4 linked regions of the Rhinolophus ferrumequinum genome follow. The protein of the gene in region 3 purifies or fractionates together with the protein of the main gene of each other region. This does not show direct contact. Links are inferred from orthologs where the notes say so. Each region holds a gene or a part of one and is shown on either strand. Other genes may lie near its edges. The genes, in order: OBSL1, CCDC8, MAPK14 and DUSP16.

Region 1 (7,729 bases), on a different chromosome or scaffold from region 3:
AATGCGGGAGTTGGGTACTTTGCACTCTAGCACGGCAATCCCATGTTCCCGGCCCTCCACATCCTGCAGAGGCCTCGAGAAGCGGAGGCGGGGCTCTGTGGAGAGGGGAGAGACCAGAGAAGGCTCTGGAGAGGGCCAGACTAGGAAGACTCCTCCTAGCATCAACTGCCTACACCCACATTAGCTCAGGCCGTTTGCTTTTCTCCTGGCGCACGAAGACATTGTGGAATCATAGAAAAACAAAAACCACCAGAAAGGAACATCAGATGGTCTAAATTCTCATCTGACCCTGACACTCACTAGCCACATCACCTCCAGCAAGGCCATTTTAGTGATCTTGGGCCTCAGTTTCCATACCTGTAAAATGGGGAAAGGGGTAGAAAGGCCTTGGACCACATCAGTGATTTTCAAAATGCTCCCTGTGGTCCCTCAGAGGCACTGCACAAATTCTGCAAGGTTCTGAGTTGCATTTTCTCTTTAAAGTACTTTAAGCATTTATTTTTTGAAAAAAAAAAAAAAAAAAAAAAAAAAAGCATGATGCTGGAAACGACCAGTAGGTTCACCTGGGCTGCTGAGAAGTGCGTTTGTTGTGCAGCTCCGGGAAGGTCTGCCTTGCCACTGGGCTTTTTTCCCCTCTTGATGGAGTTAAGAGTTCAGCCTGCCTGGCCAGTGTATGCATGTCACCATACCCATGAGGCCACCACCATGGCACAGGTGCCACATGCTTGAATGCTTGCCAGGCAGGGCTCAGGAGAGCTGCCAACTTTTTTTCCTCTGCGGGAAAACGTTGGGCAATAACTACGAAAGATATAATCCTGCAGGTTGTGATGAATTCCTATTATGGAGAGCTTTATCCTCCAGGATGAGTTTGGGGTGCTCTCCCCTGTTTTCTGTTTATGAGCATTTATTAGATATTGTTGAGGTGACTCAACTTTGAAATATAAATTTCTTCTCCTTCACCTTCTTCTTGCAAAGCTGGGGAGAGCAGCCTAATGGAAGAATAGTCAAAATTCACAGAGCAGTTTTTATCCCTCAAATTTACCTTTACTATGAATCAAGAGTTTCTCAATGTGACTACTTGCAGCCAGGCCTTCCCACAGACCAGGTGATGAACGCAGCCTTCACTTAAAATGTGTATATTCAATAAAACAGCCTCCTTGTTCTCATTGATTGGCTTTCTAAGTACACGTTATAAATCTGGACTTAGAAATTTACTGCCATAAAATGATCCTTTTCTCTTTCTTATATATTGGGGGCACAGATGGGATTTCTATTGGGGGAGGGGAAGTAAAATAACAAAGGTTGAAAACCACTGGACTAGAAGAGTTCTAGGCTCTTCTCGGTTTGTCCATCAATCACTTCTTAAAGCCTTTAATCAAAGGGAGGTTTCCACCATGAGCCTCAGAATCACTTGGGGAGTTTGCTAAGAAGCTCCTGGGTACCGTGGAGACTTACTAAATCCGAATCCCTGGGGGCGGGAGGCAGGCAGGAAATGGGATTTTGGTACTCCGCTTCCCCTCCCCAAAACGTCTTTAGGGCAGCACTGGGCACCGAAGGGGGCTGGAGTTAGGAGGGCTTGGGAGGAGGTGCCGCCGTACCTTTGACGTGCAGCTGCACAGCGCTGAGCGTCTGGCCCGCCGAGTTGCGCGCGGCGCACACGTAGAGCCCGCGGTCCTTGGCCTGGCAGTAGAGCACCTTAAGCACGAAGCCGCCGTCGCGGTCGCGGTACATCAGACGGCGGCGGTCGGGGAGCAGAGGGCGGCCCTCCCAGTGCCATTCGATCTCAGGCTCCGGCTTGCCCATCACGTAGCAGCGGAACTTGGCGTGCTTGCCCTCGTTCACCCAAAAGGTCTTGGGCGCGCACTTGACCGGCTCCACCACAGGCTTGGGGGCCTCATCGGGGTCCGGGGGCGGGCTCTCGGGAGGCTGCTGCACCTGGAGCAGCGCGCCCGCCTGCGCGTGGCCGTGGGCATTGCGGGCGTGGCACACGTAGACGCCAGAGTCGGGCAGCCGCGCCGCCAGGATGCGTAGAGCCAGGCTCGCGCCCCTGCCGTCCTCGGCGCGGCCCGGCTCCAGCGCGAAGTGGCTGCTGTCCCACACTTCGTCCAGCGCCATCCCATCCTTCTCCCAGTACAGCGTGGGCACGGGGAGGCCCCCCACCTGGCACGTCAGCATCACCTCCGCTCCCCGCAACACCCACTGCGACCGGGGCCCCGAGAGGAACACCGGGGCGCCCTCCCCAGTCCCGGGCGGCGGCAGCGGGCGCTCGGCGGGCTGGGGCTCCGGCTCGGGGGCCGGCGGCTCCAGCACGGTGACGGCGGCCGCAGCGTAGGCCTCCCCCGCCGCGTTGCGGGCGCGGCACACGTAGACCCCCGCGTCGGTGGGCAGCGCGACGCTCAGCAGCAGGCAGTGCTCGGCGCCGTCGGCCGGGAAGCTGAGGCGCTCCGAGGCCGCCAGCTGCTGCCCGCCCTTCTCCCACACGACAATGGGCGGTGGTTCCCCCAGGACGACGCACTTGAGCTCAGCTTCCGCGCCACTTACCACCCGCACGGGCCGCGGGAAGCGCAGGAAGCACGGGGGGCTCCCCTGATCGCCCGATCCCGCCTTCATCGCGGCGGCCGCAAACGACCCGCAGCTGCGCCGGGGAAGGGCGGGCGGCGGGCGCGCGGAGGCCTGGAGCCCGGGAGGCGGGGCGCGTCTGGGGACCCGGCCTGGGGATCCGGGGAGCTCTCCCTCTGGCTGCCCGCTCCCGGGTCGCCTCCTTACCGTCGACCCGGAGGGGCAGCTCTGCGGCGGCGGCGGCGATTCCTGGGCCCGGAGCCCAGAGCTCAGGGGGCAGTCCTTCCTGTTTGCCTTTACAGCGAGGGGCCCCGCGGCCTCCTCTGCCCGCGGCCTGGCTTCCTGCTCCTGAAAGCCTCTCTTCCCAGCCCCCTCCCACAGCCTGGGCCTCTTTCCCCTCCTCCCTACCACCTCCAGCCGCCAGGTCCCCAACCTCCCGCCAGGCTAGGGCCTGAGTGGCAGAGGCGCCTGCAGCTGCCAATCCCAAAAATATTCTCTGATGACACAGCTGGAAGACAAGAGCCCAGACTGGCTCCTCCAGGCTAAGTTTAGAGCAGGCGGGACCACCTGCCCCCCGCACTAACCCCAGTTCTAGCTCCAGCCTCAGCCCTTCCCCCCATGACTGGCCCAGCAGCTGTTTGTCTGAAAGGGGCCCCAGAAGGTCTGAGGGGCTGGTGTGTTTTGTCACCTTAGCAAATAACACTTTTAAGAGCTGGCAGGCCACAGCTCCCAGCCTCCTGTTCCACCTGATGTCACTTCTGTGCTGGGTGCTGGGATGTGACTGTGTGTGTGTGTGTGTGTGTGTGTGTGTGTGTGTGTAGGGGGAAGGGGTTGTATGTGAGAGGTCACTTGGGGTGAAAAACCCTCACCAGCCCCCTCCCCCACATTCCTGGCGGGAGTGGGAGATAAGGCTCAGGGTCACAGACATCTGCGTCAGAGATAGGAGGCCTCAATGCCACGGCAGGGGCAACTTGGACTGCAGGGTGTGGGAAGGCCTGGGGAAGACTGGGATGAGAAGGGTAGAAGAAGGCAGGTGGTGGGATGGGGAAGGGAGAGTGGGGGAGGTCCCGGGCAGACCCTGACAGAGGGGCACAGGGCAGGCTGTGGGTTCGCCATTGTCAGGGGCAGGTGAGCTATGTTGCCCCGGCTGCCACTGCTACTCCTCTTGCTGGTGGCCCCACAGCGGGGGCATAGCTGCCATGGGCCGGAGGTGGACCGGGAACTTGTCTTGGCAAAAGTGAGGGCCCTGTTCCTGGATGCCTTGGGGTCCCCAGCAGTGACTCGTGAAAGTAGAGATCTTGGAGTCAGGCGTTTGCCCCGAAGACATGCTGTGGGGGGCTCCATGCGCAGGGGCTCTGAGCCCGAGGAGGAGGATGTCTCCCAGGCCATCCTTTTCCCGGCCACAGGTAATGAGGATGGGGAACTGGTGACTTTGAGAAGCAGTGTGGGACAGCATGGGCTTGGAAGGCAGGCAGATCTGGGTTTGAATCCCAGACCTGCTATTCAACTGGCTTTGCAACAATGGGCCAATGACTGAACCTACCTGAGCCGCTGTTTCCTCATCTATAAAATGGGCAATAATGTCTATCGCTCAGGATTTCGGGAGATGCTGCACTTAGAGTGCATGGCTCATATGAGGTAGCTGGGAGATATTCTCCTGGGAGGCTAAGGGTCTCTGGAGTCAGCGATATCTGGGCGTGGTCTCTTCCTGCCACTTTCCTCCTATTTCTGCCCCTGCTCCCTGTTCTGGTCCTTTCTTTAGCCCCAAGTAGCTGAGACTTGAGAAATAACAGAGATGCAGGAGAGAGATTTGTTGGGAAACTTTTCTGGGAAACTAGTCTACCTTCTCTTGAGTTCCTTTCTCACCTCCCCATGTTCCACTGACTCAATGAGAAAAGGCCTCCTCTGGCTGGACTTTCTTGTAATCTGGCCCACCTTTCTCTTAGAGAGGACCCCTGCCTCCCTGTGCTTCAGTCCCCCTGCTGCACAGTAAGTAAGTGTGGCTTTGGGATCAGGTGGAATCCCGGCATGGACACTTCGTAGTTCAATGTCACTTCACCTTTCTAACCCTCAGTTTCCTTATCTACAAAATGGGTCGCTCGTTGTGAAGTTATCCATGAGATAATCCATGTAGCAGTATAGCCCCAATTGCCAGACCTTCACCTGGTGCTGATCCATGATTGTTTAGTGTAGTTTGTATACCTGTCAGGGTAAGGATGCCAACTGCACTTTCTTAGAAAGCACTGTCCTTTATTCTCAGCTATGTCTTTTCTCCTCCTCCTTTTTGGTGTTAACCTATCTTATTAAAGTGGAGTTATTTAAAAATTTTGTAATATACTATTACTGACATGTAAAAAGATATGAAGAGTAATCCTACAAATGCCTGCCTACGTGCCATTCAAGGTGCCCTTTCACACTTTAAGATGAACAAAAAATTTAAGTATAACTAACGATTCCAAGTGTTGGTGAAGATAGAGTGTCAGGGCTTCTTACACATTGCTGATGGGTATATTAATTGGTAAAACCACTCGAGAGAAGTTGGCAATGTCTTGTACTTTTTAAGTCCTTTTGTGATGAAATAACAAAAGAGGAGCCTCTGTCAGTTCTCCCAAGACTGGGGGGAGTCCTGAGTCTGGCAGAGCACTCAGTGGAGTTTTGGCAGGCTCGTGAATGGCAGCTGCGTCTCTCCAGTCACGGCTGCCCTCTCCCTTCCCTCTGTCTCCTGCAGGTGCCAGCTGTGAGGACCAGCCAGCGGCGGGAGAGCTGGCCCAGGAGGCTGAGGAGGGCCTCTTCACATACATGTTCCGGCCATCCCATCACACACGCAGTCGCCAGGTGACTTCCGCCCAGCTATGGTTTCACATGGGACTGGACAGGCAGGGCACAGCAGCCTCCAATAGCTCTGGGCCCCTGCTAGACCTTCTGGCTCTGTCATCTGGGGGTCCCATAGCGGTGCCTGTGTCATTGGGCCAGGCACCTCCTAGCTGGGCTGTGCTAAACCTGGCTGCCTCTGCCCTCCCTCTGCTGACCCAACCTGTCCTGGTACTACTGCTGCGCTGTCCTCTCTGTTCCTGCTCAGCCAAGCCTGAGACCACACCCTTCCTGGTGGCCCACACACGGGCTAAGCCGCCTAGCAGAAGGGAACGAGCCCGACGCTCGGCTCCCCCGCTGCCCGGGCCTTGGTCTCCCGCCGCGCTGCGCCTGCTGCAGAGGCCTCCAGAGGAGCCCGCTGCCCATGCCCACTGCCACCGGGCGGCCCTCAACATCTCCTTCCAGGAGCTGGGCTGGGAACAGTGGATCGTGCACCCTCCCAGTTTCATCTTCCACTATTGTCACGGTGGCTGTGGGCCACCCACCCAACCAGACGGGCCTCTCCCGCTCCCTGGGGTTCCCCCTACCCCTGTCCAGCTCCTTTCTCTGGTGCCAGGGGCCCAGCCCTGCTGTGCTGCTCTCCCGGGAACCATGAGGTCCCTCCGTGTCCGCACCACCTCGGATGGAGGCTACTCTTTCAAGTATGAGACGGTGCCCAACCTTCTCACGCAGCACTGTGCTTGCATCTAAGGGAGTCCTGCTGGTGGCCGAGCCCCTACCAGCACATGCTGGGAGGAAGAACAGAATTTGGAAAATAGATGTTTCCCATTTCCCCCCTTCTTCCACTTGTCTGTCTGAGGGCTCCCCTCCCCCTCTTACCCCTGTCCCATAAGCAGTGTGACAATAAACAACCCAGTGCATATGACTTGGCATGCGTCCTCGGCTTCTCTGATATGGCGGTGGTGGGTGGTGGAGGGGAGGACCTGGCCCCAGGAGCATGGGACTGCGGAATCTTTGGGCACTCAGCCTCACTTGACCTCAGAGATCTGGGGTTTGAGATATAGCTGGAGGGGGCAGCCGGATGGCTCAACTGGTTAGAGCGCGAGCTCTGAACAACAGAGTTGCTGGTTCGATTCCCACATGGGCTGGTGGGCTGCGCCCTCCACAACTAGATTGAAGGACAACGACTTGGAGCTGGTGGGCCCTGGAGAAACACGCTGTTCCCCAATATTCCCCAATAAAATTAAAAGCAAAAGAAGACAAAAACAAACTGGACTCACTATTTTAAAAAATAAAAAATAAATAAAAGAGCTGGAATTGGATGCATATCTGGTGGAAAGCTACAATGCTTGGTGACGCAAAGGTGCTGCTAGCTCCTGACAGCCACTCTGGAGACAGAACTGGCCCTCATGCCAGCTGGACCTGATATGTCAATCAGGGTGCCTGCCCTGCTACACCTAAAGGCAACTGCTGTACTTATAGTGCCTACACAGAAGCCCCTCCCCTGCCATTCTATGCCTTAGCTGATGGATACCTAGCTCAAGGTCAGGTGATTCTTAGACCGGCCAGAGATCATGGCTTAGGGTCCCACTGAGACAGATGTTCAGAGCTGATCAGATCTTGGGTGTCTCAGGAACTTGGGTGGCATGTAAAGGAGAGATGGTGTGAGTTGGCAGTATCTGAAAGTTGACAACTGCAGAGATGAGACAGAAGAACGAAGACCTGAGGATTTTAATTTGCTGAGGGCCTGGGACTCCCTCAAACCTATCATGTAGCCCTTCCTGAAGCCTGGTTGTGCTGCAATCTGGGTTCTTGAAGTCTTTGGCTCCTTTGATGTGCCCTGTGTGTCTTTAGATAACCCCTTGACTCAGTCCTTAACGTTGGAAGCATGGAAAGGCAGAGCCTACTGGCGAAAAAAGTGTGCTCTTGGGTGAATCTGTGTCCACACTTTGTGTACACGCGGAGTGCACGGCAGGGTGCAAGGAACCTTTTCCCGTTGGGTCTCCTATCAGTCCATTCTGCCTGCCTTGATTGGCCATTGGGAGCCCCGCTTCCTGAGCCTTCCTTCCTCCTTTTTTCACTCTCCTCCTTCTCCCTCAGTCGTGTGATCCTGCTGTCCTGCCCCAGGTCCTGGCTCTCAGGTAGGTGTGACGCGGAAGGTTGGGGATGTTTAGGTCCCTCAGATGGAAATTCAAGAGCGTTTTCTGATACTGACTGCACCACTGCAGTGTGTATTTCTGCTAACAGAGTGACTCATCAAAGACTCCCTCCTACTAACCCAGCTCATGGGGTGGGCAGGTAAGCACCTCCCCAGGAAGGAGATGTGGAGGGGAGAGAATCCCATCTGGGCATCCTATAG
Region 2 (7,881 bases), on a different chromosome or scaffold from region 3:
TTCCAAATTTCACTGGGGACTCTTTCTTGCCCAGATATGAGCTGTGAACTACTGTGTTTCCCCAAAAATAAGACCAAGCCAGACAATCAGCTCTAATGAGTCTTTTGAAGCAAAAATTAACATAAGACCAGTCTTATATAAGACCCGGTCTCATATGATATATAATACCGGGTCTTATGTGTTAATTTTTGCTCCAAAAGATTCATTAGAGCTGATTGTCTGGCTATGTCTTACTTTTGGGGAAACACGGTACACCTAGTTCAAAGGGGCTATTAGCATCACAGCAAGCCTCACCAGCAGTGACCACTTCAGGAGACGGAGGGTGGAGAGGGCTGATCGTTCTTAAGTTCCAAGGGAAAAAAAAACTAAGAAACTCAGGCCAGGTTGCAGCCAATCAGGACAGAGCTGACCTTCAGAGCCCCTCCTCCACAATTCCCTTTTCTCCGGCCTCCAGTGAGGTTGGGGTGTGGTCGTTTGCTATCTGTTTTGTCACTGGTGGGGGTGGGGTGGGGACACAAACAATGCGGAGATGTTCTCCAGCTCCCACAGGGCCTTAGCAACCCGATTTCTCCCCGATTGTAAGAACCAGTCACAACCCACTCCACATTACTACACCACAATCCCCCTTTTGGCCTGTTCCTATTGCAATGATTTTTCACTGTGTCCAGTGGCCAAGCTGCCCCTGATGGTGGGGCACAGCCAGTGCTACTCACAGCTCTGGCATGAAGGGTCCCAGACTCTGCATTTAGACACATTTTCCAGATGATTCTTTTGTCCCTTGTAAAACGTATGAAGTGTATAAACTGCAGGCCCTGGACCCTCGGACCTGGCAGAACCCAAGGGTGTGGGGATGGCAAGCAAACTGACATAAACACAGGTCATGGAGGGGACACAAGGACGTGACAGAATCACCCTGGAGCATTCTTCCGCTGCCAAGTCCAAAGCCAAGAAATAAGTTTGTAAACATTTTTATTTGCATGTTGGCTTGTGCCCTCTTTGTAAATTCAAGGAGGCAGTCAATGTGAAGTGTGCAGGAGAAAGGGAGATGAGAAAGGGGAAGAGAGGCATTTCTCCCTGCCCTCGCTCCCTTTTTCAAGCTGAGCACCTGGAGTTGCTTTTGAGGAAATTAACACAACCCCATTGTACAGATTTCCTTCTTTACATTCCTTGGGTTACTAGAAAGACTTTTAAAAATCAATGCATGACAGATAAAATTTTAACATGAAAAGGGGTGCTAGGTAGACAGGTGAGGGGCACTGCCTGGCCTTCACTCGACCTCCCATTTCAGGTGTGGAGGCAGAAAGATCATCTCCGTCCAAGGGCAGGAGAGGGAGGGATGCGTCCTGAGTGGCCAATAAGTTAGTGGGTGGCGGCGGGTGCTCTGGCTTCCCTGCCAGCACCTCACAGCAGGTCCTCTTGTTCGCCCTGCTCTGCTTCTGCTCTGGCCTCGGCCCTCAGCACCCTGAGGCTCCTGGCTTCGGCTGCCCTGGGGACTCTCTTGGGCAGGGTTGGCACCCGGGGAGTGTGCCAAAAGGCTCTCCGGCGCTTGCGAAACCACGAGAAGCGCCCAGGGGTCTGGAACCTCACTGTCTTCACCTGTTTTCGGGCCCTAACTCCTGGGGTGGCTCCTGTGGCCCCCGAGGCAGCTAAGGCTTCAGCTTCCTGGACAGCCGGGGCCTCTGCCCTCTCATTATGTGCAGCCTCTGCCCCCGGGTCAGCTATGGCCTCTGCCCTCTGGTCATCTGCAGCCTCTTCTCTCTGATTACCTGCAGCCTCTGTCCCCTGAACTGCAGATGCTGCTTCCACCGTCCTGTGCCTCCTAAATGAGGCCCAGTTGATCTTGGGCCTCCATCGTCTTGGAGGGGCCTCAGGCTCTGGCCCATCTCCTGCATTCCCCATATTATCCCCCCAGCTGGCACTTCCTGGCACCCCATCTCTCTCCACCCTGGTAGAGGCCTGCTGGGCCTCGCCTACTCCTGGGCTGGACCTCGGGGTCCAACCCTTCACCCTCTGCTTCAGCTTCCCCCAGGAAACCTGGCTAACATACTCTCGCCACCTGTCCGCCTTAGATGGCTGGGGCCCCGGGTTGTCCTCAAACATGGGGACCGGCAGGTTCACGCGGCGGCGGGCCGGCGGCGCACTGGGTTTCTTCTCCCCACGGCGAAGAAAGGCCTCCACCAGTTCCTCGTCATCCTCGCTCTCCAGGTCGCTCCCCAGGAATTTGCTGCCCAGGTAACTTACGGGCATTTTGCGTACCTTCCTGCCACGCCCTGAGCCTTTGTGGCCCTTGTTACTCTTCTCTCTGGAGGTCTCGAAGTCGCTGAACTCGCTATCGCTGGCGTTGCTGCTGTCATAAGTGCCCACAACCAGCCGGGGAGGAGGGGTCACCATCTGCTGGACTCTCCTCCTCACTCGGGGCTCCTTGGGTTTTTTGGGGGGCTGGGGCGGGTGAGGGGTGCTCTTCTCAATGATGCGGGCCACGTCCTCCAGGGTGCGGCCTTCTTCCTCCAAAAATTGGGTCAGCCGCTCCCGAAATTCCGCCTCCTTGGTGGCAGGCTTGGAGATGACCCTCCAGACGCCCCCAGCCAGCCTGACCTCCCGGGGGATGAGCAAATAGTCTACGTCCTCCCCAATCTGCAGCATCCCCACCGTGGAGTCCTCCTCCCTGCGGAACACCTTGCCGATCTTCTTAAAGGTTCCCACAGGCTTCAAGGCTTCCACGAGGACGTCCAAATCCACATCTTTGCAGACGTCGGGGACGCTCCAGAGGATCAGGCAGTCGGGCGACGGGAGGAAGCCCCAGGGGAACCAGCCCCCCACGTGGCTTTTCTCGAGGGTCTTTAAGATCTCCAGGGTGAAATCTGGGGTGGGAGCAACAAGCCCAAACTACACGAAGCCCCTAGTCTTGGGGGTCGAAGTGGAGGTGGGAGGTCCCAGCAGCACTGCCCGGAGAGTCTCACCTCCCCAGCCGAAGATGAGCCAACACCTCCCAATTTCTCTGCTTGCAACAAGTCCTCTCTGGATCAAGGCAGAGTCCCCTCTTAAGGACTGGTGGAAATCAATTGCCAGGATGCTTACGTGAGCCGGGGTGAGGTCAGTCCTGAGGCTCAAAGCCCACAGCAAGCTCCAAAAGTGGTGTCCCAGCTCCAAGTTGGGGCGCACGGGCTGACCCGGGCTCTTCCTGCCCCAGGCACGAGGGACGCGCCTGGAACTTGGGAGAGGACTTCGCAGACAAAGACAGCTCAGCCGCGGCTATTCAATATGGCCGAGGCGCTAGGAGGAGCAGCCCAGCCCCTCCGGAGGGTCTCCCGCCCCTCGGCAGGCTGCCACCCCCGTCCAGGCTGACCTTGACGCGCCTCCCGCCTCCCTGCCCGCGCGCGCGCTGCTGTGGAGCTCCAGGGAGGGAAGTTCCTTCTCGTCCTCCCCCAGGGTGAGGCCCACCTTTCCCCTTCTCATTTTACACTCCCAGACTCGAGAAGACTGACAGCGGGGCTGTCCACTCCTTTTGGGTCGCCCTCACTCCCCTCCCTCACGGGGGTGTGGCCGCGCCCCGGGCCTGGCTGGGGCCACCGCCTCCAAGCTGAAAGCGCGCCGAGGCCCACGTCAGCACCTTCTCCGAATAAGGCAGCAATTCCCAAACCTACCATCCTAAATGTGCGGGTTCCAGCCACGCCCAGAGGTGGGTGTGCTAATGGGGCCGTCCTTTGGAAAGCCACTGACACCGTATAGTACCATTCTAAATTTATGTGACTTCTGGTACCAGCAATTCCTCCCTATATACCCATAAATAGGGGTGGGAAAAGTGGTACCAGGATCTTAATTCACCAGCTGTACCAGTGGGGCTTGGCACACAGTAGGTGCTCAACAAATATTTTTGAGTGAAGTGAATGAATGAACCTAATTGTTCGGCAGGGACTGACTTAATTTTATGGTCTATTCTTACAGTGAAACACTGAGCAGCTATGAAAAAAGGATAGTTAACTTTTATAGAGCACTTCCTATGTGCGTAGGCACCACTGTAAGTGCTTTCTATGAATCAACTCATGAAATCTTCACCATAACATTATGAGACAGGTAATACAATCATTCCCATTTTGTAGCTGAGAAAATAAAAGTCACACAGCAAGGAAATGATTGAATCTGGATTTGAATCTGAAACAGCCTGACCTGGTGTGTGTGTGTGTGTGTGTGTGTGTGTGTGTGTGTGTGTGTGTATACATGTACTCAGCACATGTACAAGCTCTGCCAACCGTAGCTGTTTCTGAGGAGGGGGACTGGGGACTCCAACATGTGGCAGAGATGTGTCCTTTTCACTGTATATCCTTTTGGATTGCATGGCTTTTTGGCAATCCAAAATGTTAATTAAAACAAATGAAATTAAACCAAAGGGCCTCAAACTCGGCCACAGACATAGTGGTTTCCTGGGATTCAGGGGCCAGGATTTGCAAAGCTCCCCAGGTACTACTGAGGCAGCCATGTCAGCACCAATATGCACAATAATAACAATGGCATTAGTAATAATAATTGTTAACTTGCACAAAAGGTTTCCTTGGAACCAGGTACCCTGAATAGCCTGTTGTTATGAATGCTCAAAAGCTATAGGGTAAGGTGCATGCCTTCACTATCATCTTCTTACAAATGGGGACACTGAGTCTGGTCTGAAGTTGCACAGCTGTAAGTAGAGGGGCTGATATTTGAACTTAGGCACTGGAGTAACCATCCAGGCAGGCTCGGAAGACACAGCTGATCTTTATCGCTTGCCTGGATCCACAAAAAACACCTCTTCACTGGGCGGCCTGCTTTCCCTTTGCAGCCTGCAATCCATCCCCAACTGGCAGCTGGAGGGATCTTTTAAAAACGTAAGTCAGATCTATCTGTACTCTTTCTAAAATCCTTACCTAGGAGTAAAATCTAAGTCCTCACCTCAGCCCACGAAGCCCTATCAGTTCTCCCCACGTCCCTCTCTCTATTCCACTCCAACCACACCTGCTGCTTTTTCACTGTTCCTCCAACAATGTTTGCCCCCAACCTCAGGGCCTTTGCACTTGCTGTTCCCTCCACCCAGAATGCTCTGCTCCCACCTTCTCTGGCAATCTCCCTCTGCTCAAATGGCACGTTTTTTAGAGAAGTGATTCTGTCTCCCCCCTCCCCAACCCTCTCCAGGGCCCTATAGCTTAGGAATCCTTAACCATGCCATGGTCCCTTTCCAGCATAAAGTGTTTCAAAGCATAGATTTGCATCCATTGGATTACAAAGGAAACCAATTATAATGAAATACAGCTGTCAAAAGAAAAATTCCAACAGTCAAAAAAAAAAAGTAAAGAAGCCTGTAAAATAATGACTTTAATACAAAGTATAAAAATTGTTAAGACAGGGGACACTAAATCTTCTATTTTTGAGATTTGGACCTCCGGTGTAATTCAAATTAATAAGGGCAATTTAGCTTGAGAAGTTTTGAAAGCTTTCTTTTCTTTGCCTCTTAACGATTCTCTTTTGTTTCTATTTACTTCGGCCCAGTGCAGGCCCTGTGACTTGGGAAGTTTTTCATCTGTATGGGATCCACTCTTCTGGCTCCAACTTAAATCTACATAACGTATGGAAAGGTTGCCATAACCAACTTTACAGCACCTTCCCCCACCCCCAATTACAGACCGAAACAATTTACAGCCTGGTTAGTAAATACAAAACTTGAGACCAAACAAGGACTCAATGCAGTAGTTTGCAGTAGTTTCCAGCTGACGCGACCCTCCTCTTACTTTAATAAATCTATATTTCTATCTGACTTGTGAATTCTTTCACCGCCCGCGAGCGAGGAGATACAACAAAAATGAATACGTGTAATTTTATTTAACTCAAGATATGTGGTTTTATTTAACTCCTGAAGGAACCAGGCAGATGTTTAGAAAAAGAGGAAAGGGGGCGATTAAAGGAAGGGAAGGGAAAGAGGAAGGAAGACGCTTGGGGAATGGAGGGAGGTCAGGGTCTTAGCGAGGCCTTTGCACAATTGTTGGCTCACTCGGTTGGCTTTGCTTTGCTGGATTTTCTGCTCCTCCTCGCCAGCCCCATCCGAGGCCTCTGCCCAAGCCGGGCCTCGCGCCACCCAGCTCCTCCCTTTTGCTCCGTTTCTCGCCCAGCCTCCCAGCGGTCTCCATGGCAACGAGGAGACGCGTTCCAAAGCGCGGGTTGGCTCTGAGAGGGTAGAGTGGGGCGGGCCGGGGAGGGGGGGAAGGGGTGGGGGCAGGGCAGCGCCTCTTTCCCGCTTCTTATCCCTTCCTTAAGTCTGATGCCCCAAGTCACCTTCTCTTAGAATGTGCTTCGTAGAGGCCCAAAGCTGAAAATCCCAAATCTGAGAAGTCAAAATAATGACCTCGAAGTTGAGACATTTGGGCTGTTTCTGTCTTTGGTTGGAAGGAAGGGAGGGTTATCCTAGAAATGAAAACCTCATATGTTCAACATTCTTACAGAAATTGCCAACCTCTGAGCAATTCACTGTGGGTGTTTTAACTTGCCCAGGTCTCTGGCAGGCAAGATCCTTCTCCAGCCACCCCCCTCCCCCCCCACACACACAAAAGGATAATTATAGCTTCCACTTTTATATTTATTTAAAAGAAATGAAAAATCAGAAAATAGGGGGAGAAAACAAAATATGGCCCAAATCTCTCTACCCAGTTTCACTTGGTTGCCGTTAAAAATAACAATAGTAATATTAAAAGTGACACACACACACATGCTAAGAAAATGCTGGAGTTACAGAGAGGTGTAAAATGAAAAGCAACCCAGCCCCAGCCCCAAGCCTCCAGCCTCTCCCCCAAAGTGATCGCAGTTAAATATCTCTGTACTTTTCCAGGGGGAAAAAAATGCTTACTTTAGCGTATGTGTAATTTTAGAATTTACCCCATGGGGGGTTTTTCACATCATCCTAAATTGTTTTCATCACAGCGCGTACCACTGCCTGGTATTTTCTTATTTATTTATTGTCTCACCCTATTAGAACATTAGTCCCATAAAGGCAGAGATAGTTACCTGGTTTGTTCACTACTGAATTCTCAGTATCTAGAACAGTCCTAACAGGTGCTCAAAATATTTGATGAATGAATGAATGATGCTAGATCTATTACTATAAAACTTGCTTTTTTTGCACTTAATAGCATGTCTTGAAGTCTTTCATATCAGTATATGCATATCCATCTCAGTTTTCCATCACATATGCCCACAAGGTGGGAAAGTGATAATACTGATTATTATTCTGTTTTATTGAGCACCCACTTTGTCCCTGGCCCTGTGTGTTTTCTCTTTTAATCCTCAGAACCTCTCCTATGCAAGTGTTATTCCCATTTTCCAGATGAGAAAAACTGAAGCCAAAGAAGGCCATACAGCTAGGAAGTGGCAGAGCTGAGCTCTGACTCACTCAGGTTCCTTAGATTCCAACCGCCACACTCTTTTTTTTTTTAATTTGTCGGGGTGATATTGGTCAACCCCGACGCTCTTAAGCCTCCATTATTTGCCCAGTTGCCTGGCAGATTTGAGGTGGGGAATAAGATTGGTGAGAAATCCCGAAAGACTTCTCTCCCAGATGACACTTGTAACCTTGGCACAGTCACCAGATTTGTCCTCCATCTTGAACGTCCGGAAATCAGGTCCCTGTCTACGATAAACAGGATATAATTTATCCACACCTGTGAACCAGATACCAAAGGGTTAAATGATAGCACATAGTAGGTCCTCAACAAATACAGCAGGAAGCAGCAATGACACCCTCTTTATCCTGTGCCCTGATGCCAGGGCTCAAGTTAGGTAATATCCCCTGAGGGGCATTACTTTAATGTGTTCACTGGTTTGTCATCTGGCATCCCAGGTTCCAAAACAGCCTTTTGTCAGCAC
Region 3 (8,276 bases):
AACCTATTAAGTTCCTGTTTATATTTCCTTAAACTCACCACAAAGATTCCCACCCCCTTCTGTCCCCAAACCACAAAATCAATGCTTTGCAACAACATATTCTTAAACAACTTTGCTTCATTTCCCCTCAAAGACAATGTACAAAGTTCCTTAAAACTGCAAGACTTAGTTTAGTTCCCTTTACCTCTTAAAAAAAAAAAAGTGTATTTGTAAAACCCTATCAATTCTCAAATTTCTAGTCTGATTCCTTGATCTTTCATTCATGATTGGTTATCACAAAGGCTACATACTATTTGCTTTTTTACTATAAACTTAGCAAAAATTTTTAAAATGATGAAAATAGCCTTAATTAAAAATAATTTTAAGTTACACTTCGAAGTGCATTGCACTTCAGAGCAATCAAATTAAAAAACTGACACATATTTCAGTTATGTTGCATGTCTTAAAATACTTCCCGAGATTCTTTTTGGGAACAGACTTCAGATCCAGTTCTACAAGTCACACAAGAAATTCTGCGTCATACTTTATAGTTGAGACTCCTATTTGACATAAAACAGTATCACCAAGCTGACTGCTTAATCTTTTTCACCACACTTTAGTCCAAATTCTCTCAATTATCTGGATTCAATTTGATTTTCTTTGTTATTCGCTAAAATCAAATCTGCGCTCCAAGGATGAAGGTTGTGAAAAATAACACAGGCTCCAAAATGGATTCTAAGAGAAGTTCAAAAAAAGTGTTTTCTGACACACCTGAAAAGTTGCTAATTGAAAGAATGCCTGATTATAACACTTACTTGTAAATCTAAATTCTGATATTTTCAATCAAAAAATCCACTATATTGGTTTAGTCAACTGTCACAAAACATCAGTTGTATTTTCTTCCACCAATGTTATAGGTTACACCTTAAATCCCTTTTACAGAAATACTACTAAAAAACAACTCTGCCTCTTGGAAAGACACAAAACAAACTTAACAGTGGCTGTCTCTGAGGAAAGGAATAGCATGGCTGGAGAACAGAAGAAAAGACTTTTCACTGAATATCCTTTTATACCCTCTGAATTTTATACAGTGTAATGTATCAACTATTTTTAAAAACCTGTGTAACAAAATTATTCCAAGTGTCAGAAATTCCTGGCTTCTATAAGCCAGAAAGTATACTAGCACTAAAGAAATGTGGAGTTCACTTGAATGGCACTCCACTGTAAATCTGCATCTTCAATTCCAGTGCAGAGCTACCCACACCAACAGTAGGGAAACCTTGCAAATAGTTCCTTTCAAGTTTGCTCAACTCACCACAGTTGAGCTATTCTCTGCTGTATCACTCATTCCATTCAAATTTAAACACTAGAAACAAAACCTTGGTACTACAAAAATTAATGTATCAATTCAAGAATTAAAAATAAACTAATGAGCTATGAAAGGAGCAATGACCAAATACATCTTTGAAAATTAGCAAATCAATAACACACACACACATACACACACATAGTAAAATGCTGCAAATTCCCTTAAAATGTAGACTGCTGTACTATAAAAATGTGGAAAAGATGTCAAGCATCGTGCCTTAGCAACATAATTCAAGCAGCTTGAACTAGAAAATGCAATATGATCTACTGTGAGACACAATTGCACAATCTCAATTACCCAGAAGATTCTACTGAACAGGAAATTCATGATGTGAGTGTGACTTTAAGAAACAGGGGAATTCTATTTAAAGACTAATATGTTCAAAAGCCTGGAATTTGTTCCAAAACAAAAAGTAATTGTATATAGACCCCTTTCCAATGATGTATGGGTATGAATTTACATGAATCAGTTTCAGATCAGGAGCTCTCAAATTACATTAAATCTAAAATACAGTGAAAAAACCTTGGAAGTTAGAGAAATTAGTGTAATTACTTCAGGTCCGGAAATTTTAAGGTATGAATTTAATGCAAAACACACTCACAGTGCGAATTAAAGCTGAAAAGTGTCTCTTCCTTCCTTTTTTATATATTCCCTATCCTTACGAAAACCACTGTGTCCTCAGGCTATAAATGTAGATAAGTTCCCTGCAAACTCTCTCAGGGACTTTAAAAACACAGTACTATTCACAAGAATTATCGCAATTAAAAAAACATTTACAATACCTCCCACCATTGTTCCTAACTTTTTGATCTTGAGGGCGTCCAACGGATCTGAATCTTACTTGCACCAAATGAGAAAATAGTTTTGTCAAACAATACTTAAATGAGCAGTGGTATGTGACTAATCAGCGAGGCCGCCAGTTTCTCAAGCTGCAGCGTTCTTGCCAGCACTACCACCCACCCCCCACTCTGCGAAAAGGAAATACGCTTTCAACCGAATCGGAAACACACCACTCGAGTTGGCACAGTGCTCACCGAGATAAAGTCGGTATTTTAAGCTCTATGGGTCGCTGCTAATTGAAGTGCGAATTCAAAAAGAACGCTTCTCAAAATGGGATTTCGACAGAGGTTTGCAAAGAAACCAGGACAGAACGCCCTTCGCCGCCAGTTTTGTTCGGTTTACCGCCGTCTCCCGGTCGGGCTTTGCTCTTCTGCTTCTCGGGGCAGCTCCCCGGGTTTGTCTGCTCAGAGGGCAGGCTCCGGAGCCCATGATGGGCGCACCTCCGGAGAGGGTCCTCCCGCTCGACGCCAGCAGGGAGACCCCCAGAAAAAGCCTCCCCCGGAGCAGCAACCCCCAAGAAAGGAATGTGCAGGGTGCGAGCCAGGGCTGAGCTCCAGCACGACCCACCGCCCACCGTGGACCTGCGTCCTGCACACAGCTGACCACCTACCTAGGTGTGTGCAGGGTGAGGGGTGCAAGGGGCACAGGGAGTGCTGGACAGGGGTTGAAGGGGCAGCGATGCCCTCCCCCAAGGAAAATTCCTGCCGCTTGGTGCATCGCTGAGCCGTGGGGGCAGGCCTGGCTCTGGGGCATGCAGGGCCAGCCAGCCACCACAGCCCCAAGCCCAGTGACACTCACCACACGGAGCCATAGGCGCCGGAGCCCACCGGGGACAGGTTCTGATAACGCTCAGGCACCTCCCAGATAGTCTTGTTCAGTTCCTGCCGGTAAAACGTGGGCCTTTCCTGAGACATCTTCCAGCAGCGGCCGCGGGGCGAGGAGGTGGCCCTCCGCGGGCCCCGCCTGCACCCGCACCCGCTCCCTGGCCCTCGTTGCCCGCCGGGTGGGGCTGGGATCCCGCACTGGCCGCACGCGCAGGTGCGGCTGCCGCGACCCCGCCGACTCCCGCGCGCGCTGCCCCTGTCAGCTGCAGCGGCTGGACGCGCCTGCACGACGAGGGCAAGCCCTGCTAAGAGCAGGGGCGCGCTCCGGCGCTCAGGGCTGCGCCGGCCACGCTCTCCCTGCACCCTCTCCGGACCAGGCCGACTCTGGGCTACGCCACGGGACTAGGGCTACAGCAGCTGTGCCCGCTGAGGTTTCAGTGGTCGCCGTTCCAGAGCCAGCGAACAGGAGCCTCCCGCCGTACTCTCGCGAGAACAGCTCCCGAGACTCTACGCGAGCCGAGATTTTACCCAATATGGAACCTACCCACGGGAGGGGCTTGAGGAGGGGAGAGGACGGGAGTAGCAATTCTCGCGAGAAGAGAGCAACAGCTGGAGACCAGAGGCAGGAACTCTCGGGGTATGTTCTTATTAAGGGCGCGAAGGCGGACCGGGGAAAGAGAGAATAAGCAGGCAACACATGCTGCGTGCGCCCCACTGTGGTCGGCGGAGCAACTGCCTGGCTTCGTGGTGAAAAGCGACAGTGACAGATAGGGTGTCGGGGAAAAGAGCCAAAAGATCTTTGAACAGTGGTTAGTTACCAGCAGTAGAGCACCTGCTCAGCGGAATCCCAAATTTCCAAGAAATAACTGCATTTAAAAAGAGAGAGAGAGAGAGATTCTGGCCAAAAAGCCGTAACATTCCCATCTGCTCAAGGACATATGGCTTACTCTTCAGAATTTTGATGAAATCTGTCCCAAAAGCAAATATTAGCCCTTCATTAAGGCTGAGATTTTGCACCCAAACTCTCCTAGTAGTTCTCAAACTTTTATGTGCAAAAGAATCACATTGGGAGTTTAAAAATGCAGATTCCCAGGACACACAAGGAGTCTGATTGGATTAGTCTGTGATGGGCACCAAGAATGTGCAATTTTACAATATGCCTCAGGCATTTCTGATTCAGGGAAGTCTCTGATGCTTTTCCCTTAGAAAAGCATTTTTAAAACCACTACGTTGAGGGTTTGAAATTGACTCCTGACATGAAGAGCTTCCACTGAAGAAGATTTTGAGGATTTAATTCATGCCTCTCAGAGTAAGAAAAGGGCAGAGTAGTCTTCTGACAGTGTCTTCTTAGGCAAGTCAGTGGGCCTTTCTTAGACCTTAGTTCTGCAAAAGAGAATTCCTGTCTTACCTTCCCACCTAGTAGGGTCATTTATCAAGCTGACCAAGATAATAAATGTGATTGGGCAAGTTAGTATAACCCTATCCATATGCTGAAGCTTGTTACAATAAGCAGAAGAGTTGGACCCTATCTTATTCTCATAGTTATTTTGCTTAGAAATAACTAGGTCCAAGCCAGGACAATGTTCTTCACTTCCCGTGACTATTCTCTTTTGTGTTGTGCATCCTTTGGAGTGCTCAGACTTTGCCTGTCTTGTCCCAGCATCTAACACAGTGCCTGGAACATAAAAGATACCCCATAAATATTTGTTGAACAAATGATGAACAATTTAGGAGGTGGTGCAGGATCCTCAGTTCTCCTCAAGGACATAAAAAAAAACAAAACCCAAACCAGATTCAAGGGTGATTTATGTAAAGCTTTTTTGGATTCAATGTGGCTTAGCCTGGATTCTCTTTCCTACGAAGACATGCTGCTTGAAAATATTCCAAGCTGACCACAGGTTAGGGAGCTTTCAAAGAAGTAATGGAGGTTGAAGGAGAAAGTGAGAGCAAAACTGTGACTGTGAAAAAAAAAGAGGGGTGGAATGGGAATCAAGAAGATGAGTGAATGGATCCAAGGGAGGAAATTTGGAAGTAGGAACCCTAAGAAATTCATAAGTTTATCTAACAAATTGGGATGATGAGGTAAGAGTGACCAAAAAGGTAAAGATGAAGTGAGTAATACATTCAGTCACTTATGCAATAAATATGTATTGATGCCAGGCACTTCTAATGGAAGAGTGATTAAAAAATAGACACAATTGCTGCCTACATGGAGCTTACAATTAACTGCGGGGCAATCGTTCAATCATTCAACGCAAACTTCATGAACACTTACTATATCTACCACACTGTTTTAGGCACTGATGATTCAGCAGTTAATGAAAGAGATTAAAAAACAAACAAACAAACAAACAAAAACCCTGTCCTATAAAGGGATGAGACAATTTACAAAATGGAATAGGTAAAGTGAATAATATGTTAGACATTAATACAGCAATCCTGTAAGTGTAAAACTGCACGTGGGCGGATCAGGAAAAGAAGGCTGTAGTGAGAAACAGTGGGAGAGAGAGCGGAGCAGGAGACCTGGGCATGAGAGTGTCAGTGGGAGGAGCCACGCTTGTGGGACCAAGTGTTAGGGTTGGAGAACTGGGTGACCCTCTAGCTTCCAGTTCCCTCACGCCTCTTCTGACCTGATATGGTTGTGGGGAGACTTCAGTGAATTACTGTATGTGAAATGCTGCGCGCGAGGCGTGGCATTAGGTCGGCTCTCAATCAAAAGTAGTCAAACCTGGACGCCAGTGGAGGCCTGGGTGGCACAGGTTAGGAGCTTCCACGGCCCAAATACCGGGAGCTCAACTCAGGTACCCCTCTTCCAGCTCCCCACCCCCGCTGCCCATGCTCCCCTTCCTCGCCCCCACTCTTGTCCCCCGCCCGCCGGAACGCCAGCGGATTCGGCCGCAACGGCTCGGGAACCGCCGGCGTCCGCGTCTGCAGCGCCGCCAGCCGAGCCGGAGCTGCGTGGGGCTCCGGCTCCCGCACTCCCGCCCCCGCCGAGGAACCAGGTGAGCCACTGCCCGGGGATGCCCGGGTGCCAGGGCTGCAGGTTGGGAGCGGCGAGGCGGCCGGGTGCGAGGGACCAGCCCCTGGTTACATTTCCAAGTCCTCGGGCGGGGGGCTGCGTCCGTCACGGACAGGGCCAGGCACGTCGCGGGTGCTCAGGCAATATTTGTGGAATGAAAGAATGAAGATCGTCCCTGGGAGCTTCTCTCTCAGAGGTACTGTCTCTACTTTTTGAAAGGACGCGTGAAATGGCAATGGCAAGATACAGTTGTGTGTGTTTTGCAAGCTGAATCGTTTCAGACTCGTTGGTCCGAGTTGTCAGAAGCCCCAGAACTGGACCGCGGCCGGCTGCCCGAGCCCCACCGGACTACCCCATCCAGCTCCTGAGGCTCGATTGCCCAGACACGCCTCATACTTTCAGACCTCACTGCTTTTGTTCGTTTTGTTCCCTCTGAACCCCGACTTTCACCCTCCCCCTACTTGGCCCCTTTCTCTTATCAAATCCTGTTTATGTATCAGTGACACCGGTGAAGCCCTCTCCAACATGCCCACCCAAATAATGAGTTCTGTCCAACACACTCTACTTGTAATACTCTCATCACGTCGCAATGAAGTAGTTGTTTATGTGTCTAATGGTCAGCTCCTTGAGGGCTGTCACCTTGTTATCCAGCCCCAGCCACTAAACAGAGTGACTGAAGTATACTAAAAGCAGTGCTCTGCTTGTGCCTCTTCTATATTCCAAATACACTCCCCAGAAAAACGTAGATGGTAACAGGCAACGAACTGTTTCTGATGGGATTCCAATGCTTATTTTGAAATTTTGGAAGTGAATTTTACCTTCCGATGATTATAGAGAATGTATGAAAGATGACGATACCAGGGGAAAGATTCTTGCAACTAAACTGAGGTTCAGGATTTCACATCTATTGGGTCAATAGTCAGAAAACTGGGTTGCATTTACATTTTTTATTCTTGACTTTTAAAATACTTTCAACACATTATGTAAACGAATCAATGGATGGCTGGATAGATAGGGGTAGTTTGGGGTATGAAGAAGCTAGTTCAAAAATGCCTGTCTTTTGACAGTGCCTCCAAATTTAGCATTGAAAAGCTAAGTAAAAATAATTGGCTACATTTATAATGGTTCTCCTACTTTATTGTGTATCAGAATCACCAGGAGGGCTTCTTAAACCAGACTGCTGGCCCATCCTCAAAGTTTCTAATTAATTAGGACTTTCTAGGTGGGGCCTGAGAATTTGCATTTCTAATTTAGTTCCCGGATGATGCTGATGCTATTTGTGTGGGGATGGAGTGTGAGCTACAGAAATCAAACTAATTTCTATTAGTAGTGAATCCAGATACCCCCAAAATGATGTCACATTTATCGCATTAGAAAATGAAACCTTAAGTAATTCAGACCCACGGTCCACCCACCTAAATATTTTGTCCGATGGCAGAAAGCATCAGAGCATTTTTTTCTAAGTGGACATTTATCTTCAAGATTATGAGTAGAGTTTAGCCTGTTGTTGATCACACTGCGCACAGAGGTCTCCTCGCACTAATGCCTCACGAGTCAGTCAGAGAGACTCCCTCTTGTGTTTTCTCCGCTAAAAAGTCATTATCCCATCAATGTGGTTTGACTTTTTTCTGAAATGCATCGCCTTCTCCCCACCAAATACATCTGCCACTTGTCAGTAGGAGCTTCTGGTCATCGTACCTTGTGGGGAAGGGTCCTGCTAAGTGCATGAAAAAACAAACCACTAGGTTTTCTATGAAATCGAGAAAGACATAATGGAGCTGGAGGAATTCCAGAGAAGACTATAAGGAAATCATGTATTTTCCCTTGCTGCCATAAGCCAGGCCTGTGAGGAGCCCCGTAAAGACAGCTTTCCACCTGCCCCTCCTAGCCATTCTCACTACCGCCCCATGAGTTGTGACTGAGTACCTCTCCCCAAGACCACTGTACAGGTGATGGTCTCCAATAGGTCTTCTTACCTCCGCTTCTTCTATCTCCAAGCACTGTTTAATAGAACTTAATGTGATGATGGCAATGTTTTATGTCTGTGCTGTCCTGTCGGGTGGCCCCTGCCACCTGTGGCTGTTGAACACTTGTAATGTAGCTAGTGTGACTGAGGAACTGAAGGTTTTATTTTAGTTAATTAAATTTAAATAGCCACAAGTAGCCAGTGGTTACCATACTGGACAGCACAGCTCTAGACCATACCAATGAGACAACTTCTTCCCAAAGCGTGTCTCTGTCCATA
Region 4 (7,434 bases), on a different chromosome or scaffold from region 3:
TTTCTTTTAGATTTCTGGGCCCTTCCTCACCTTCAAGCAACGAAATGTGTTTCCCTTTCTCCAAATTCCACCCCAAATATAATCTGAGCATAACCCATGAGATAGTCTGGGTTGATAAGGTAGTCTAGTAGATTAAATATTCACCATATTTACTGTGAATTCTGAAACAATGTTAAACAGGAATATCTTCCAAACTAGTTGAAGACATAAAATGAATACACAGGAAACAGCATCTGAGTGTTATCAGATGCTAAATCAATGGTAATTGGTTCAGAAAAATGAGAAATCACTAAGTACAGAAGTAATGAGGGAAAGTTTCATGGAGGCAGGGTTTAGGATAGACCTTAAACACTGGGAAGAATTTGGATAGGCAGAGAAGAGAAATTTTGACATTGTAGAAAAGAGAAATACCATAACCAAAGACAAGAAAAGTAGATGAGGTTTTAATGGAAAGCCAAGGTGGTCTAGAGGAGGAGTGGCACAAAAATGTGCATAGCAAGAATTAGTGGGAAATGAGATCACATGGATAAGATGAATTCATTAACAAACTTAGCAAACATGATTCAGTGCTGATTAGCTGTCAAGCAATAGGGCTCTTGCACATAATAATAATAATAATAGCTTACGCCTATTACAGCTTCCAGTGTGCCAGGCATATATTAAGCCCTTTACATATAGTATCTCATTTAATTATCACTACAGACCTAGGAGGTATGCACTGTTGTATCTCTACTTTACAGATGAAAAAGATGAAGCCCAGAGAGGTTCAGGAACTTGCTCCGGGTCACATAGTTATTGAGTGGAAAAGCCTGGATGTGAACCAAGGGAGTCAGTTCAAATGTGGGTTCTGAGTACAATGCTAACCTGCCTCCACACATATTTATCTCTTTACATCTTCATAAAATTCCCATGATATAGGTATTTGTATCCCCATTTTGCAAATGGGGATGTAAGGCTCCCAGAATCAGTAAATTGTGCAAGGTTCTGCTGAGAACAAAGCTAGAATCTGAAAGCAGGTCCAGTAATTCCAAGTTCATTAAACTTCCCCTTAAAATACAGCTGCCTGGCATATGGATTTTCTAGAATGGGATCAAATTAGGGAAAACTTTAAGAGCCTAATAAGGGCAAGAAGCCTATACCATAGGAATGGGGAAGACCTTCCGGGTTTCGAACAGATGTGACTTGATTAGTGAAGGTAGGTCTAGGTCTGGCATCGGCCTGGCACAGGGAATCCAATCAGGGAAAGAGTGGACACAGCACCAGATGATATTTGAGGTGAGCATGAGGGTGGGAGGGAGGGGCGGGAACAATGACCAGTATTTGAAGGAAAATCTGATTGTTCTTGGGGACCGAATGGCTAAGGGTACTAAAAGGAGATTAAATCAAAGCAGACTTTGCTTCTCCTCCAAATGACTTAATGGACTAGTAAGGGACTCAAAGGTTATAAGAGCAGCTGGTTTGTGGCAAAAAAATGAAGGTTGCTTTTGGACATGTTGCAATCTGTTTGGCAGAACAATGACTGGCACATTCCAGAGGAAATGGGCAGCACACGGTCAGGGGTGTGGGATCGGAGCTCAGGTAGAGAGCAGAGGCTGTCAGTTCTATCTGACAAAGAAGCTCTGCAGGATCACTGAAGGGGCAGACTAGTCCCATCCCAGGGAAAATAATTTTCTCACTGTGAGAATGAGCCAGGAGTCATCAGAGAACAAAAATGCAGTGTAACAAAAGAAAGCAGGCCCAAGGGCAAGCCACAGGTCTGGACAAGTGGTTAGGGCCAAGGCAGAGATAAAAATTAAAGAGACAGAGCAGCAAGTGTGATATCACCCATATCAAAGGAGAAATGACCACTGAATAATTTCCTGTCCTGTTTCTGGTATTTTTGGATGTTCTATTGCAGAAGTCAAACCCAGCTTAACCGTTCAGACCCTACAGTCTGAACCCTACAGAATAATCAAGAATCTTGGTAGCAGGGAACACACACTCTACATCAGGATAGGGAGAGAACTGAAGTAATCAAAAAATACTTCTCCACTGAACTGTATATTTAAAAATTGTCGCAATCGTAAAACTCATGTATATTGTACCACAGTTAAAAAAAAAAAAAAAAAAAGGAAGACCTCTCCCCTGAAAATATAAGTGTCTATGAATCCCACAAAAATCTCCAAAAGCCCATCGAACTTAGCATCTCTTGGACTTACCCCTTTTGGTCCAAGATCTTGGTTTCCTTCCCAAGTTGGTGGCTGTGCTGCTGAGGTGATAAAGGTACTTGAGGAGCCGGGGATGCCAAAGCTACCTGGCTGGCATGTCCTTTCCAATCTGGAAAGAGAATGGGGTAGTCAATTGAGGCTAATGTGCAGCGGAAACTCCTCTTCTGGCCTTTCTGCTACCTCTGTCCTTTTTCCAGAACATTGAGAATGTGATCCATTGGTCATAGCCCCACCCTCTGTGACCTCTTCTGCCTGACCGAGTTAAGAATGAGACACAGAACAACTCAGCCAGTACCTGGGAGGGACTAACCTGGGGCAGGAACCTGGGAGTCCTGTGATTTCAGTTCTTGCTTATTGCTCTTCACAAACATCCTTTTAAGGTTCTAGGGTACTTCTAACTGGCTTGATGGAGATCACCTCCCAGTCTATATACAATTCCTTTCCTGCACAGTATATAATTTGTTCCTAGGACAGGGCTCCTCCATAAACCAGGGGAGTCTAAAGGGACTCCGACACTCAAAAGTAGCTGAATGGGGTTCTTCCTCATTTTACAAGTGAGGAAACGGGCCCAGGGTTGTTGAGTGACTTACCCAAGGGCATACATACACCTGGTTACTGCAGAACAAGGACACACAGGCTTTCTGATCCACTCTCTAAATCTCTTTTAGCTAGACAAAGAGATTCCAGCTGAAATATTTGGAATTCTATTTTTATTTAAGTTTTGCTTTTCCCGTGATTGGTCTCTTACTGTCTCTTTCTCAGAAGATGTTTAAAATGCCTGAAAATGCCAGCTTAGGTATCCAGAAGAGAATGGTAGCAGCACTGATGGAGGGAGGAAGCTCGCTGGTTACCCACAAAACCATCACAGACTGCCTGTTATGCTGTGGCTAAAACTTGGATCCATGCCCTCCCTCAGCCAATGTACAGCAGAGCCTAGTAAGGGGGCCCCGTGAACTAGGGCTCTCTAGTCCTTTCTGTCATTGCCCTATGTTGACCTTGATCTCTGCCTCTGAAATCCTTGATTACCAATGTCAATAGTCAGCTAGTTGACTTGGGAGGGCCCCTCCATGGCTATGGCAAGAGAGAAGAACGACAGAACAGCTCACCGTAAACATGGGTATCAGGCAAACTTCAGGAAAAACTGGTTGCTCAAGCTTGCCACCTCAAGAGAAACAGTTTTGTGTAAAGCTTGACATGGTGCGAAATAGATGTACGTAAGTTTGTTCCATTGCCACACTCATCTGGGGAGGTATCTGTGGGTCACTTCAGCACATGGGAAGATCCGCCGTCCCCAAGATCATTTAAGCTGTAAAGTCAACCAGATTAAAATGGATTGTCTGTGTTCATCAAGCCTATGTATCTTTTCTATGGTCAGGTCCTGAAAATGTAGGAATTCGGGTTTAGCGCTTTCGAGTCCTAGTCATGCACTTACAAAATCATAGGCCTAGATGGTACTTGGAAGTCATCTAATCCAGCCCCTAATATTACAGATGAGGAAACAGAAGTTTCCCGTTATTATACTTCTAGTACACCGCTGACGAGTACACTCATTTCGTTACAACCAAAATTACACTGTTGGCTCCATGGAGAGGATGGTTAACCTAAAACCCATGGCATTTTTCATACAAACCACTGCTCAGCTGCATTTTCCCCATCCCAGGTTTATACCATTCATTTCCTAAAATTTTGTTTAGGGGTTTACATTTTCCCTTTCATTCCATTTTGCTAGTTTTAACTTCATATTCCAGTCTATAATTTGAATTGTGTTTGTCTTAAGCTTTTTAAGTGTGCTGGGGAAGGGGAAGATCGTAGCTAATGTGCACTTTGCAGTGTGCTTGCTAGCGCCTATTTAATAGCTCACCTGTTCTAAATAAAACTATAAAGAGCATTTAATTTGGAATTCCCTGGCCTAGTTTTTCAGATCCTTAAGGGAGGTGGCTAACTTTTCCGCCTTGGTATATATGCAGGAGCTCTAGAATGGGCTGAAGAATATTCTCAGAGCTTGTCTCATCCGCGGAACTTGGTGCCTGGGGTAATGTGGCGAAAGGCCACCCTCTAAATTGCAGAATCGAGAGGTTTTTTTATGTCCATTTTGATGTACCATTTAATTGTTTATTTTCCTTTAGCCATGAGAGCTAGAGGACTCAAGAGATTTAAGAGAGGGGAGGAAAGAAAGGAAGGATGTCCTAATCTCTTTTGTACTCAAAAAGATACGTGCTGTATGCAAAAGGAGAACCAACTTGAGTGAATTATTTGTGATGACTTTATATATTGTAAATAGCCAGAAACCTAGGCGTTACCTCTGACTTCTTCCTCTCCTTCATCCCCCACATCTAATAATAAGAATGGCTAACATTTATCAGGCACTTACTATGTGCCAGATACTGTGCTAAGATACTTGATAAGCCTGACTAATTTAATCCTCACAAGAACTATTATGATTTTACAGATGAGAAGACTGGCACTTTTAAGAAATTAAATTCCTTGCTTGCACTCTTATATCTAGGAATGGTGGGGCCAGATTCACACCCAGGTTATTGTGACTCCAGAGCCCAAAAGCTGACCCACCATAAGTTTAGTCCCCCGGTTCTCGGGGAAAGCCGCCAGACCATGATGTAGGTCTGATCCTTACAAATCATAGAAGAAAGGAAGGAAGGGAGGAAGGGTTGGTTGGAAGGTTGGTTGAGTGAAAGAATCTTTAATTGTAGTGCAGTTCTGAGAAAGTTCAGCAAAGCTGATGAAACATCTTGGAGCTGAAGTTGCTCATCCGAGCAGTCCCACGTTTCCCAGAGGTGGGCCTGCCTTAGTATCCTTCCCACACTTCGTCATGAAGCAGACTGGGGGAGGCATGACCGTAGCAAGGAGTAGTGACGGATTTCAGAGCACAGAGACTGGGATTATCAGCTGTAATCCTTTCTGAGAGATACATTTTCATTGCTGCCACATTCTGCTCCATTATCTCTTCAAACAAATCTGCTGAGTTTTTTCTTCAACAGATGTCTCTACTTACTGCCCTAGTTCAAGCCTCTGTCATTGCTCACCTAGGCAATTCCAATAATGCTTTTACTTACTTCCCTACTTCCAGTCTCCATACCCTTAAAATGATTTCCTGCAACACCACCAGGGTGATCTTTCTAATATGTCAATCCAACTATGTCATAACCCAGTGTAAGAAGATAGGTCAGTGGAGACTTCTTTTTGTCAATCTTAGAATCTGTATGATGATCCTCGAGCATATCAATGACAAGAATCACACCAGCTTTCATTGATTAGGTTAATTTCAAAATTGCCTTATATTCTTTTTGGTGAGGTCATCATGATTTACCATATGTCATTCATCTGCTTAAAAACCCTTCAAATGTCTGTAAGATGAAACCCAAACTTTTGCTCATGGTACACCAGCACCCCCAGGACCCGGCCACTCCCTACTTCTCCAACATCATCCGTGCCACTCCGGGTATTTAATACTCCAGTGATATCTCAGTAATGAATTATTTGTAGGTCCTGCTGTGCTATATCATATCTCCATGCCTTTGTGTATACTCTTCCCTCTACCTGGAATGCTATTTTCTCTTCTCCTCCCCCTTATGTGCCTATTTGAATCCCATTCTAGGTTGCCTCAGCTGCCACCTCCTTGGGGAAGCTTTCCATGATTCATACACACCCCAATTCAAAGATCATTTAGTCTAGTCTCTAGCCCAATTCAGAAAGTCTATCGAAGGCACCCAGGCGGGAGGTCATCAAAGGAAAAGCGCATGACTTCACCAGACAACTGGTGTTAGGCTGTGCTCATGGTCACATAAACCAGTCAAAGCCATTTCTTATTGTTTTTCACGTGGAAATCTATCAGTTCCTGTTTACCCAGTTTTTCTGTGGATGGTGGTGAAAATAGCAACCATCAGAAGATTCCAGGTGAATGGAGAGTTAGAAGTTGGGAGCCTAACTAAGAAATTCCCTGGGCAGGTCCTATAGAGGCAATGCTACCTTTGAACTTTCAGATCTTGGGGGTTGGGGCAGGGAGCAGGATGGTGGTGTTCAGATGAGGAGGAGGGACAGAGCTTACCAACAGGCCATTGGTCATTTCCTTCTGGTTGTAGCTCCTGAGCTTTATGGATCTTCTTTTCTGAATCCCTGACCTGTGACTCACAGATGTTGCAAGAAAACTTCAGAATGCCTGTGGACTTCAAGAAGCGGGAGGCACGGTCAGAGGGAGGATTGAGCCTATGGGAAACCACATAAAGGTTAGACTTTTGTGACAGTGACTGTAGTTACTATGATTCCACATGTTTCCTTAGTGCTTTTTGATAAATCTGTATTTTTCCAAGACTGAAAAGTTGCATCTCTAACTAACTACATGGATGAGAGATATGTGGTAAGGAGAAAAAGATAGTGAACAAAGACTGATTCTGGAACCCTGTACTTACTGGGAGTGTGGGATCAGAAGCATGATGAACATGAGCTTTTTTTATCCATATTCTAGCACAGGCCTCGTGTTTCCAATCTTCAATAGGCACTGCCTGTTTTTGTGCATTTTAGAGGGTTCAGTATGGTAAACACTGGTGCATTCTCAAGTAGTTTTCAGCCAAAAGTTTAATTTGGGGAAGGAATACATATGAACAAATCAGAAAAAAAATAGATATGATCAATGTTGTTTACGCTACAATATTAGAAATGAAAACAATAATAAAAACCATACTGGGTATTAGGAATCACGAAATTATCTTACCAGCCATTGTTACCCTGTACAAACAGAGCATACAATTATATTTTTTATTGACAGTTGAGTATAGACCATCTGGAAATATAAACATGAGAACAGAATTATGAAAGGAAATTAGTTCCGTTGGATTTTTTAAATTTGAATTTTATTTTTTAAAGACTTTATTTTTCTAGAGTGGTTTTAAATTTACAATAAAATTGAAAGGGAGGTACAGAGGTTTCCCATATGTCCCCACCCCCACATACACACAGCCTCCCCCATGATGAACATTACTCACTAGAATGGTACTTTTTTTTCTTTTCACCAAGGATGAACCTACATTAAACATCATAATCACCTAATGTCTATACTTTACCTGAGAGTCCACTCTTGGTACTGTACTTTCTATGAGTTTGGACATATATTCATCATTATAATATCATTAGGAGTATTTTCACTGTCTGATAAAAATCTAAAGCCATTAGATTTTTTAAATGTTTTCTAAAGCTACACTAATTAAAACATTTG

Evidence for each region.
Region 1: the proteins of MAPK14 (region 3) and OBSL1 purify together in Homo sapiens (affinity purification with mass spectrometry; 6 studies listed by BioGRID and IntAct, counting the BioPlex papers as one, with this or other methods). This does not show direct contact. The link is inferred for Rhinolophus ferrumequinum from reciprocal best matches to the Homo sapiens genes MAPK14 and OBSL1.
Region 2: the proteins of MAPK14 (region 3) and CCDC8 purify together in Homo sapiens (affinity purification with mass spectrometry; 3 studies listed by BioGRID and IntAct, counting the BioPlex papers as one, with this or other methods). This does not show direct contact. The link is inferred for Rhinolophus ferrumequinum from reciprocal best matches to the Homo sapiens genes MAPK14 and CCDC8.
Region 4: the proteins of MAPK14 (region 3) and DUSP16 purify together in Homo sapiens (affinity purification with mass spectrometry; 7 studies listed by BioGRID and IntAct, counting the BioPlex papers as one, with this or other methods). This does not show direct contact. The link is inferred for Rhinolophus ferrumequinum from reciprocal best matches to the Homo sapiens genes MAPK14 and DUSP16.

What each region holds. Positions count from the first base shown.
Region 1 is NC_046291.1:15,954,292-15,962,020, reverse strand, and holds the start of OBSL1 (obscurin-like protein 1), read right to left. Parts: upstream 3,147-7,729; 5' UTR 2,611-3,146; coding exon 1,599-2,610; intron 96-1,598; coding exon 1-95. Other genes in the region: INHA (inhibin alpha chain), read left to right, coding at 3,695-3,965, 5,288-6,120. UniProt on the Homo sapiens protein: Core component of the 3M complex, a complex required to regulate microtubule dynamics and genome integrity. It is unclear how the 3M complex regulates microtubules, it could act by controlling the level of a microtubule stabilizer.
Region 2 is NC_046298.1:42,670,870-42,678,750, forward strand, and holds CCDC8 (coiled-coil domain-containing protein 8), read right to left. Parts: upstream 3,460-7,881; 5' UTR 2,644-3,459; coding exon 1,402-2,643; 3' UTR 953-1,401; downstream 1-952. UniProt on the Homo sapiens protein: Core component of the 3M complex, a complex required to regulate microtubule dynamics and genome integrity. It is unclear how the 3M complex regulates microtubules, it could act by controlling the level of a microtubule stabilizer.
Region 3 is NC_046286.1:5,988,612-5,996,887, reverse strand, and holds the start of MAPK14 (mitogen-activated protein kinase 14), read right to left. Parts: upstream 3,452-8,276; 5' UTR 3,103-3,451; coding exon 2,987-3,102; intron 1-2,986. UniProt on the Homo sapiens protein: Serine/threonine kinase which acts as an essential component of the MAP kinase signal transduction pathway.
Region 4 is NC_046293.1:27,377,353-27,384,786, forward strand, and holds the start of DUSP16 (dual specificity protein phosphatase 16), read right to left. Parts: upstream 3,504-7,434; 5' UTR 2,199-3,503; intron 1-2,198. UniProt on the Homo sapiens protein: Dual specificity protein phosphatase involved in the inactivation of MAP kinases. Dephosphorylates MAPK10 bound to ARRB2.